Linked DNA regions of Ovis aries. The protein of the gene in region 1 interacts with the protein of each later gene in a pairwise test. Links are inferred from orthologs where the notes say so. Each region holds a gene or a part of one and is shown on either strand. Other genes may lie near its edges.

The links.
Region 2: the proteins of LDLRAD1 (region 1) and ADGRG7 interact in binary tests that used the Homo sapiens proteins (3 or more experiments, as listed by UniProt). The two-hybrid records come from large-scale screens. The link is inferred for Ovis aries from reciprocal best matches to the Homo sapiens genes LDLRAD1 and ADGRG7.
Region 3: the proteins of LDLRAD1 (region 1) and MAL-like protein interact in binary tests that used the Homo sapiens proteins (3 or more experiments, as listed by UniProt). The two-hybrid records come from large-scale screens. The link is inferred for Ovis aries from reciprocal best matches to the Homo sapiens genes LDLRAD1 and MALL.

Annotation. Positions count from the first base shown.
Region 1 is NC_056054.1:28,540,161-28,543,807, forward strand, and holds part of LDLRAD1 (low-density lipoprotein receptor class A domain-containing protein 1), read right to left. Parts: exon of another isoform or gene 3,248-3,647; coding exon 3,119-3,247; intron 1,288-3,118; coding exon 889-1,287; intron 1-888.
Region 2 is NC_056054.1:165,965,201-165,969,599, reverse strand, and holds the start of ADGRG7 (adhesion G-protein coupled receptor G7), read right to left. Parts: upstream 2,911-4,399; 5' UTR 2,670-2,910; coding exon 2,555-2,669; intron 1-2,554. UniProt on the Homo sapiens protein: Orphan receptor.
Region 3 is NC_056056.1:104,672,599-104,676,245, reverse strand, and holds part of MAL-like protein, read left to right. Parts: intron 1-1,154; coding exon 1,155-1,277; intron 1,278-3,647.

The DNA.
Region 1 (3,647 bases):
TCTCTTTCCCTCCTCTGTGGCAACTCCTCTCTCTTGAGAACTGTCAGGTCTAAGGTCTGGGGTTAGACCTTCCCATTCATTCATTGGTTGATTCACTAACTTCATCATTTATTCAACAAATCGTTCCAGATATTTCTCTGTGCAGAGCCCTGTGCCAGGCCCTGGGCCCCAAGACCAAGCAGACTAGGTTTGCCTCAGAGGAGTTCACAGTCTGATGGTGGGGGCAAACATGCCAAACGAGATTGACAATCAATGTGACTGGGGCTGGGACACAGATAAGCACAGGGGCTATGAGAGTCCAGTAAAGGAAACTTCATCTAGTTTGTGGAGAAGGCAATGGCGCCCCACTCAAGTACTCTTGCCTGGAGAATCCCATGGATGGAGGAGCCTGGTGGGCTGTAGTCCATGAGGTCGCTAAGAGTTGGACACAGCTGAGCGACTTCACTTTCACTTTTCACTTTCATGCATTGGAGAAGGAAATGGCAACCCACTCCAGTGTTCTTGCCTGGAGAATCCCAGGGATGGTGGAGCCTGGTGGGCTGCCATCTATGGGATCACACAGAATCGGACACGACTGAAGCGACTGAGCAGCAGCAGCATCTAGTTTGGGAGTCAGAGAAGGCTCCTTGGAGGAGGTAACACTTGAACTCTGCCATGAGGGTTGCATAAAGTTTCTCAAGACCCAGAATGGAGGCATTCCCTTGTGTGGGCGTATGTGTGTGCATGTGACTGGGACAGGGTGGGAAAAAATGTTCCTGGCAGTATACAACCAAAGGCATAGAAGCACACAAGGGTGCCTGGTACGTTCAGGGTGGTCGAGCTTCAGTCTGGCTGCAGGGAGAGCTGGAGTTGGGGCAGCTCTCAAGGGGCCCTGGCGTAGGTACTCACGGCACAAGGCCTCCTCCTCGTCCTCGCTGCGGGCACAGGTGCGAACGCCGTCACAGACCCTGCTGGCCGGGATGCAGCTGCTCCGGTCGTTGCACAGGAAGCCCGTCCTGTTTGTCTGCGTCACACAGGCCTGGGCCCCTGAGTGGGCGGGGCCAGCCCCGGAAGGGTCAAGGGTGGTGTTCACAAGGGCATCACCAAGTTCTCCCCACTGAGCCCCACCTGAGCTGCAGCGAGGGCCTGGGGCCACAGGGAGGACCCTGAGCTCGGCATTGAAGATGGCGTGCAAGCCCCAGTTCAACCACTTGCCAGCTGTGTGACCATGGGCAGGTGACCTGACCTCTCTGTGCCTCAGGTTCCTGTCTCCAAAGTGGGGAGCATAGCACACACCCCGTGGGACTGCTGGGGAGATTACACAAAAGTCTCTGTGTGAATAAGCCTGGAGAGAGTGCAGAGAAAGTCATGGTTCCCATGTCTATCGAACAACCATCTCACGGGAAGCTCCTCAGGACAGGCCTCAAGCCAGTGATGGGGTTTTCATAGCAGGGCTCCTGGTGCAGGTGAGGGTGTCAGAGGCAACATCCTGGGGCCAGCTAGCGACCGTTATGCCACAGTCCTTATATCTGGGACAGCTATACAGCCTGCAAACACCTTCACATTTTTATTCTATTGTTTCCCTGAACCCTCCTGTGACATGCCGTCACTAGCCCCATTTTACAGATGAGAAGAGTAAGACTCGGTGAGGTTCGAGAGGCCAGGCCACACAGCTAATAACCAGGCTGCTGCCTCTCTCTTTCCTGAGGTAGGGCTGCCTCCGCAGTGCCCAGGAATGATGGGGACCGTCTGAGTGTCTGTCCCTTTGAGAGTCTTCCCTCTGTCCCACTGCGTCAAGCACCCAGCCCTGGGGCTGCTCCAAAGAATTAGGGGAGAGAAACTGACAGAGGAGCCTGGAGGTCCAGTTCTGCGGGTTGTGCGCACAGACACACGTGTGTGTGGGTTGGAGGTAGGGGCGAGTTTATGTGGGTCTGTGCGCATGTGAATCACAGCTCATCTCCTGGAACTGCCTCAGCTAGTATGAGGGGGCTGGCTCTCAGAGGCACATTGTCACACACACACAACTGCCCACAGACATACACGCTTGGACACACTTGCACAAACACAGACATGCACACACAAGGGCAAACACACACAGATATGTACCTGCACATACAAACATGTGCATACACGCAGATGCTTGCACACATGTACACACAGACACTCAGGTACGTGCATGGAGGCAGCTCTTCCTGTGTTCACATCTACCCGCAGTGTCCATGCACGGGCACGAGGGTACCATGGATTCTACCCCTATTCTCACTGTGTTCCTTTAGCACCTCCTGCTAGGCAACAGAGACATCTCTCAGAAAGGTAGGTCTGGTGACATCCCACCTCCAGCTAATTCCTTCCCATGGCTCTCTAGATGGTGACCTCCTTCCCCAGTGCAGATTTCGAGGCGCTGGGCCCAGGGCCCCTGGCCCTACCCGCTGCCCTGTCCATCAAGCCCACTAACCTTCTCTTCATATTTCCTTCCACCCCACACATGCTGTTCCCTGTGCCTGGATGCTTTTCCCGCCACCCCCTCCACCAACCAACCCCGCTTTCCCTTCATGCTTCAGTGCCGTTCATTTCTCAAGGTGCCCATCCTGACCCCTGGACTGGCCAGAGCCCCATCCCAGACTCTCAGAGCTCCCACTAAGCCTGCCTTAAAGTGCTTATTGGGTTAACCTCCATGTCACTCTGCAAACTGTTAGCTCCGCGAGGTCACGTTTGGTGTTGGGGCTCACTGCTGAAGCCTGCCTGGCCTCAGGGATGTACTGGACAGGTCCCTGTCCTTTGTGGTCGAGACAGACACACAGAAGGAGAACACCACTCTGGGTGATTGGGCTTGGGGGGAGAGGAAGTGTGAGAGCAATGGGAGCTGAAACAAGGCTCCTAAACCAGGCAGGCAGGGGAAGGCTTCCTGGAGGAGGTGGCATCATAGCTGGGTCCACTTCAACAGCTCAAGCTACAGATGTGCAGATGGAAGCTCAGAGGTGTGTGCTTGTCAGTGTCAGTGTGTGTTTGTACATGCACCCTAAGGGACTGTTCAGAAGTCACTTTGTGGAGAAGCCAGGCAGGATCAGTTTTCCCCGTCACTCTGTGTTCCCTCTACCCTCCCAACAAGTCTGACCCACTCTCTCTTGCCCACCCTGACCTGGTGTGCGAGGTGGGGGTCCAAGGATGGCGACCAGGGCGATCAGAGCTGCAAGAGTGGTCAGCAGGAGCATCAGGAAGGCTGAGAGGCAGGCCCCTCGGCGTGAGCAGCAGCAAGGGCTGCAGTTCGCTGTGTGGGGTGGGAAACCCGTGATGGAGCAGCCAGTCCCCTGCCCTGAGCCCTACAAGTGGTCCCTCTTCACTGGGGTCCTGGGGTAGGACAGGCTTCCCTGGAGGAGGGCGCTCCCAAGCCCACTGAGAGGCTCTCAGCTCTGCCTGTGGACCCACTCCACCAAACGCCTGGGCCTGGCCCACATCCAGTAGCTGGTGAGTGGCAGTCGGGACGAGGGCCCCAGGTCTCGGCTCCACCCCCTAAGCCCCGTGTCCTTCCATGAGTCCCAGGAGATGAGGAAGGAGACACGGACACCTGCTTACTGAGTTCCTGCCATAGGGCAGAAGCCAAAGCAGGCCCTTCATGGCCATTAATTCATTACTCAAGACAACGTTTATTTTACAGATGAGGAAACTGA
Region 2 (4,399 bases), about 140 Mb from region 1:
AGCAACTCCTAATTGAAATTTACTTACAGCAGAATTTAAATTTTTTTCTACTTTTTCATACAGAGGCTATTACTTTTTCATGAAAAATAAAAATGAGAGAGACATAATTGCTTAAACATTATATTAAACATAAACCATGGGAACATATTCTGTTTATATTGAAAATAAATTTTGAATGTGATCAAATTAATTTACCAGAAATGGTATGTATATGTTTATTTTTTCTAGGGAAGACATTCATAGTTTTCATCAGTTTCTCAGAGATACCCAAGACGCTCCCCTTAAAAAAATAAGTTTAAAAACAATTCATCTTGGGATTTCCCTGGTGGTCCAGTGGTTAAGAATCCACCTTCCAATGCAGGATACATTGGTTCAATCCCTGGCCAGGGAAGTAAGATCCCACATGCTGCAGGGTAACTAAGCCCGCACATCACAATGACGATCCAGTGCAGCCAAAATTTTAAAATCACAAAAACAACAATTCATCTCTATTCCCAGCAAAGGGACAAAAGGGAGAGCATTCGATACTTCCATGAGATGGAATGGGACAGGATAGAAAGGGGTGGCAGAGAAGTGGAGAGGAAAGGAATGAAGTGGAGGAACCAGAACTTCCTAACTGAGGCAATGCCCAACTATCGTGTACAAGGCAAAACAGTAACAGCAAACAGTACCAGCATTTCAATCTTTCTCTTTAGATGATAACCCCCTTCTTTTCCACTGGGTTTACCCAAAACTGAGGGATGGCCCTTACATAAAAAGCCATCTTAAAAAAAAAAAACCTGCTAGAGCAAGGAAATCTTTGTCTTTTCTGAAGAGCTGGTAAGCTTTTATTGTTAAACATGGGTTCTCTGTTATTATGTTACTTGGATCTATGTTACTTATTATTATGCATTTTTGGCTTAGTCCTCAGGAAACACAGGGATATGTTTTGCATTTGTTTTTAGCAACTCGTTTGATTTTCATTTACTTTCTAACCTCAGTCTTGTCCTCTTCCTTGTAGTGTTTTGTCCTTTGGTCCTTGTTTTAATGGGTCTATTGTAGCTGTGGTCTTTATAAGTTACCACAAATTTCCCTTTAAAAGTAGATATCTTATTAAGGAAGAAAAGAAGGGGAGGAAGGAAGGGAGGTGGGAGGGAAGGAAGGGAGGCAGTTCTTAAAAGTATGTCCTTTAGATAAGCTCTTATCAATTTAGTAGCCTTAATAGGATAAAACCTGCGGTGCATATTTTTTTTTAAACCTCAAATTATTTTACAAACCTTAAATAAACAAAAACAAATTTTCATCAAGTTTGAATTTTACTGTTTTTGTTCTGATAAAGTTTCTCTCGCTTGTTCTTTAAACCCTACCAATACTGTGCTCTCTAAATACAGTCTTTGGGGGAGAAACACCAGGTCTATTCTCAGTTATCACTCCATAAGCAGCCAACGTTCATGACTCCTTTTGCTCTCAACAGTGGATCTTTGCAGGTATGCCCTGTGTTCCTGCTGGGTCCCCCAACCTTCTTCCTGAAATCTTCTGTCCTCACCCACCGTTTCATTAGAAACTATCTCTGTCTCTCTATCTCTTTTTAAATAAAAGGGAATGCTCAGAACATCCAGCTTTGAATCCCTTTATGGAAAGGGACTAGCATTAGGATTATGGGAAGTCTCTATTACAAGGTTCTAGAGCTTTCCTTTAACATCATTCTTTGCTCAACACTGCTGCCCTTTACCTCCCTTTCTCAGGGTCAGTTCTACCATGTAACAGGTGACTAACAAATGTCTATTGACTAAACAGGAAAATTGTTTTCTAAATGATCTTAATTTTTAAGTAGCTTTCAACACCTGAAAAGTGGGAAGTTTGTGTGAAAAACATGGTCATTTTATTTACAGCCCTAGTGAGAACATTCCTAAACTTTCTTCTTGAAATGAACTTTCATTCTGCATATGTTTAATTATGTGTGTATGTGTGTGTCCAAAACTATTTTTCTTCCTTGAAAGAAAATGAAAGTGAAAAGTCACTCAGTCATGTCTGACTCTTTGCAACCCCATGGACTGTAGCCACTAGGCTCTTCTGTCTAGTGAATCCTCCAGGCAATTCTACTGGAGTGAGTAGCCATTCCTTTCTCCAGGGGATCATTCCCAGGGATTGAACTCAGGTCACCCACATTGCAGGCAGATTCTTTACCAGCTGAGCTAGCAGGGAAGTGTGTTAAGCTTGGATTTAGCTTAACAAACCTAAACATGTGCTACTAATGATCTTAATTATTACTCTGCTATTCATTTAATCAGGTGTTAAAGGAGCACGAAGAGGCCAATTCAACTGTGTTGTTCATCACCTTGAACACTTATACACACACACACACACACACACACACACACACACACATGAACTCACATATTCATGTATATACAACCATATGCTAGCCATAAATGGACCCTTGTCTTTTATATTTCATAAATGGCAGGCAGCCTCAGCCTAGACATGGCACTTTCTAGTCCTGGTATGTCAGGTGGCAGCAGAGAGGCTCAATGCCTTCTCTTGCTCTGAGTTAAAAACAGCAGGACAACATTACCTCTCTGGATCCTGATCACAAGCCTCCAGATGCCCAGTCCCAAAACAGCAGCAGTCAGCAGCCCACACACAACGGCCACCAGCACCCGGAGGTTACAGGCATGGCTGGAAGCCATGGGGAGTCCAAACCACAAACCAACGTCTGGGCGAAAGACAACTGGCTTCTTTTCTTCTTCAGCCAAGAACTTTAATCAAAAACTCTTCTAAAAAAACCACAATTCCTTCTCTCAGGGTTCTGTTAGTCAGATATCCTCAATTTTTTTTTAGGATTATTGAGGTTAATCAGGCAGGAAGCAGTTCGAATCACCTAATAAAAGGAACACAGTCTGCTTGCTATTTCCTCATCCTTCACTGAATGGGATCATGCAAAAAATGATTGGTGTTATGAGGAAGAAAGATAACTCAGGGCAATAAAGGAGAAAGGGAGGGGATAGCTAACAGAGTCAAAGTGCAAATGTCCTGACAAGCAAAAAGTAGGGAAGGAAAAAAAAAAAAAGAAACAAAAAAGAACCTAAAAGTCAGGAAGGCAGTGGACCTGGAGGGTCACCTATAGCTTAGCTTCCTCTTTTTTGTTAGGAGCCTCTAGCAGAGGTGGAGAAGGCAAGGCACCCCACTCCAGTACTCTTGCCTGGAAAATCCCATGGACGGAGGAGCCTGATGGGCTGCAGTCCATGGGGTCACTAAGTGTCGGACACAACTGAGAGACTTCACTTTCACTTTTCACTTTCATGCATTGGAGAAGGAAATGGCAACCCACTCCAGTGTTCTTGCCTGGAGAATCCCAGGGGGGACGAGGGAGCCTGGTGGGCTGCCGCCTATGGGGTTGCACAGAGTCGGACATGACTGAAGCAACTTAGCAGCAGCAGCAGCAGAGGAAGAACCACAAACTGGACTCAAGATTGCCAGGAGAAATAGCAACAACCTCAGACAGACAGATGATACCATTCTAGTAGCAGAAAGTGAAGAGAAATTAAAGAGCCTCTTGATGAAGGTGAAAGAGAAGAGTTAAAATGCTAGCTTGAAGCTCAACAATCAAAAAATTAAGATCATGGCATCTGCTCCCATCACTTCACGGCAAATCAGTTCAGTTCAGTCACTCAGTCGTGTCCGACTCTTTGCGACCCCATGGACTGCAGCACACCAGGCTTCCCTGTCTATCACCAACTCCCAGAGCTTACTCAAACTCATGTCCATTGAGTCAGTGATGCCATCCAACCATCTCATCCTCTGTCATCCCCTTTTCTTCCCACCTTCAACCTTTCCCAGCATCAGGGTCTTTTCCAATGAGTCAGCTCTTCACATCAGGTGGCCAAAGTATTGGAGTTTTACCTTCAGCATCAATGCTTCCAATGAATATTCAGAACTGATTTCCTTTAGAATGGACTGGTTGGATCTCCTTGCAGTCCAAGGGACTCTCAAAACTCTTCTCTGACACCACAGTTCAAAAGCATCCATTCTTCAGCGCTCAGCTTTCTTTATAGTCCAACTCTCATATCCATACACGACTAATGGAAAAACCATAGCTTTGACTAGATGGATCTTTGTTGGCAAAGTAATGTCTCTGCTTTTTAATATGCTGTCTAGGTTGGTCATAACTTTTCTTCCAAGGAGTAAGCATCTTTTAATTTCACGGCTGCAGTCACCATCTGCAGTGATTTTGGAGCCCAGAAATAAAGTCTGACACTGTTTCCATTGTTTCCCCATCTATTTGCTAAGAAGTGATGGGACCAGATGCCATGATCTTAGTTTTCTGAATGTTGAGTTTTAAGCCAACTTTCTCACTCTCCTCTTTCACTTTCACCAACAGGCTCTTTAGCTCTTTGCTTTCTGCCATAAGTGTGATGTC
Region 3 (3,647 bases), on another chromosome or scaffold:
CCCACCTCCAGGATCTAATGTCTGATGATCTGAGGTGGAGCTGATGCAATAATAATAGAGATAAATTGCACAGTAAATATAATGCACTTGAATTATCCTGAAACCAACCGTCCACCCACGGTTCTTGAAAAAAAATTGTCTTCCACAAAACCAGTCCCTGGTGCCGAAAAGCCTGGGGACCACTGCTGTAGAAGGTCCCACATTTTGGTTTGTTTGCTTTTTCCTGGTGTGATTTGCTCCTCTAGTCCCTGAATTTTCTGTAAGCCAGAAGTTAGTATCTAAAGGCTAAACAGAAATGGGTTAAACCTTTCTGGCAAGGATGCTTCATCAGTGTCTCCAAGTCACATCACACATGGTGACTGGTGGTCCTTCTTTCACGGTGACAACCTTACCCCATCACTCTTTTCTCCAATGTCCCCTTTCATCTTCTGATGCATATTCTTTAGGGGTTGCAAAATGCCAATTTGCCTATTATGATATTCCTTCCAGAATACTGTAGTATTCTTATGATGTTAAAGAACACTGCTGAGAGTTTAGCACAAAGGTTCAAAGATGGACGGAAATCTAGAGTCAGATTAGCCCGACTCTGCCGTGTGTTAGCTAAGCCTCAGTCTTCTCATCTTTAAAGTGGGCATGTTAATAGTAGCTGCCTTATGAAATTAGCTGTGAAGATGAAATGACACAAGTGTGTACAGTTAGGAAAACACCTAGCAAACAGCAGGCCTTCATCGCACTAACAGTTGCGGAGCACAAGCTTGGTGTTAATGTGGCCCGGTTTCAAATCCTGGCTCAGCCTCTCGTCACTGACTTTAACCTTGGACTTCTATTTCCTCAAAATGGCATTAACGATAAATAGAACCAACCTCATAGTTCACAAGTTTCCATGAGATAAATGAGGAAAAGATTTAGCCTACATTTTGACCGGGAAGAAGCACTCAATAAATCTTGGCTCGTACTGGTACTGACATTTATTTAATCCACTATTGCTCACAACATAGAAATTGTGCTAGGAACACTGAGAAAGCAAAAAGCGGGAGTTTCGGGAGCAGGCTTGTCTCTTTGGCCTCCTCTGGCCAGAGGCTGAGTCAGAGGAGAAGGTGTTACCGCTTGCGTGCCCGAATGACAGTGGCTGTGCCCCCGCCGCGTCTTTCTAGGACAGCCTGTATCACGGGACCACGGGCATCCTGTACATGAGTGCCGCCGTGTTACAAGTGCACGCCACCATCGTGTCAGAGACCCAGGACCTGAAGAACTACTATATAAACACTGCAGCCTCGGTGAGTGCTGGACAAGGGCACGGCAGGCAGCACCAGGGAGGGAAAGCCAGGGGCTCAATTCTGTCTCCTCTGGAACAGATGACCCCACATCCTCAGACTGAAGGAGTCCTGAGGGAAGGGAGGGGTGTGTGTGCGCGTGTGTGAGAGCGCGTGCGTGCACACAGATGCGTTGGCAGTCAGGTGTGCCCAAGCTCACAGGGTGCCAAGCCCACGTGTAGGTGTCATCTCTCCTCCTGGTGGCTCAGACAGTAAAGAATCTGCCTTCAATGCAGGGAGACCGGGGTGCAATCCCTGGGTAGGGAAGATCCCCTGGAGAAGGGCATGTCTACCAACTCCAGTATCCTTGCCTGGAGAATTCCAGGACAGAGGAGCCTGGCAGTCCATGGGGTCGAAAGAGTTGGACATGGCTGAGGGACTAACACTTCACTCACACCAACTACGCTGCCCTCAGAATATGTTTCCAAAATGCACATCTCTTACTGAAAATCCTTAGGCCTTCCCTGGCAATCCAGTGGTTAAGACGTCACTTTCCAAGGCAGGGGGCGTGGGTTCAATCCCTGGTCAGGGAGCTAAGACCATCAGGCCTCATGGCCCCCAAACCAGAACATAAACAATAGAAGCAGTATTGTAACAAATTAACTAAAGATTTTTCAAAATGGTCCACATAAAAATTTATTTAAAAAATGAAAGGAAATCCTTCATTGGCTCCTTTTTCTGGTGGAATGGACCTCAATTCCTCCTCACGGCTCAAGTTCCTGCGTCCTTCTATTTCAGTCCCCCTATTTCCACGGGGTTACATACTGGCTGATGGAATCCAAGGCAAGGTGGTCCAGAGGAGTTGTGGCCCAAGCGGGACTTCTGGGCCTCGGGCTCACTGCCTGCCTGCCCGACAGCCTTGCCAGGCCCTGAGTGTGGCTGCTTCCCTCTCTCTGGGGGATGGCGCCCTCAAGTGGTACATGGCTCACATGACCGGTGGTGGGTTCCTCCAGTGTGAGTCTGTGCGCCCACATGTGCTCCTAACCCTCCTTACTCCTTCTCAGGAAGTTCTAAGGCCCAGGCTGGGTCCCACCCCATCAGCTCCAGTCTCTGTGGCCAGAAAAGTGCTGTGTCAGTCAGGTTCCCCAGGGATCAGGCAGCAGCAGGCGGGGGTGTGATATGGGGTGCTGCCGCCCTTGTCAGAAAGATACCAGGCCAAGGCGGTGACCCTCCAGGACGCCCTTCCTGCCTGTCTGCCTCCTTGCCCCCCAGCCCAGCACCTCTCTGCCTCCCACCACTCGGGGTGCTGCTCGCCCTGCTCAGGGGCCCCTGTCGCAGCCTCCTTGCTGGCCCTGGACCCCTCTCACCTGGGCCTCGGCTTCCAGCTCCCTCACCTCCTCCTGTTCTTCTCTCACTTGTCACCTCTCGGTGAGGCCGCCACTCAGCCCCACTCAGAGCAATAGCTCCTACTTCTCTCCTGGTTTATCTTGGCTCTTTTCTGCATGTGCCACTAAGATGCAAGTTCCATGAGGATAGGAATTTTTGAATTTTTGTTCACCATCAGATTCATGCCTGAAGCATGCGTGCTCACGCTAAGTCGCTTCAGTCTTGTTCAACTCTTGCGACCCCATGGGCCCTAGCCCGCCAGGCTCCTCTGTCCATGGGATTCTCCAGGCAAGGATACTGGAGTGGGCTGCTATGCCCTCCTCCAGGGGACCTTCCCGAACCTGCGTCTTCTGCTTCTCTTGTGTCTCCTGCGTTGCAGGCAGATTCTTTACCACTGAGCCACCGAGGAAGCCCATAGCAGATGCTTACAAGATATGTTGAATGAATGAATGAAACAGAGTGTGATTGGACAGGGTGGGGCAAAGGGAAGATGGAGTCCTCCGCTGGACTGAGAGATCATTAGACAGTGCAGCCGGGTATCTTTGGGAATGGCTTTGGACATGGCCGTCGGGGAGGGAGGGGTCGGGGGGAGCACAGGTTTTGGGCTTGGGTAGCTGGACAAGATGAGGATCCTGGGATCAACTGGGCTTGTGAGGGAATCTCAGGAGTTCAGTTTGACCAGAGAGCTTGTGGGGCCTCTGAGCCTCTGAAGATTTAAGAGGTGGTGCGTAGAATCGAGTTCTGGACCTCTGAGTGAAACTCTCATTTGAGCACAGACTGTGGCTGAAGGTGGAGGAAGGGGTGAGTGCCCAGAAAGAGGCGAGGGCACCCAGGGCGGGCATGGAGATGGGCCCACTTTATGGCAGGTAGAGGGGCCCAGGTCTGCAGGTGAGAGTGATGCTGCACAGCCACCGTGGGACAAGGGGTGGAGTGCTTCAGGGCGGGTGGAGGGGCTGCCCCGTGGCTGCTGCCCTCAGGCCAGGCAGGGCTCAGGTGAAGCAGGGTCAA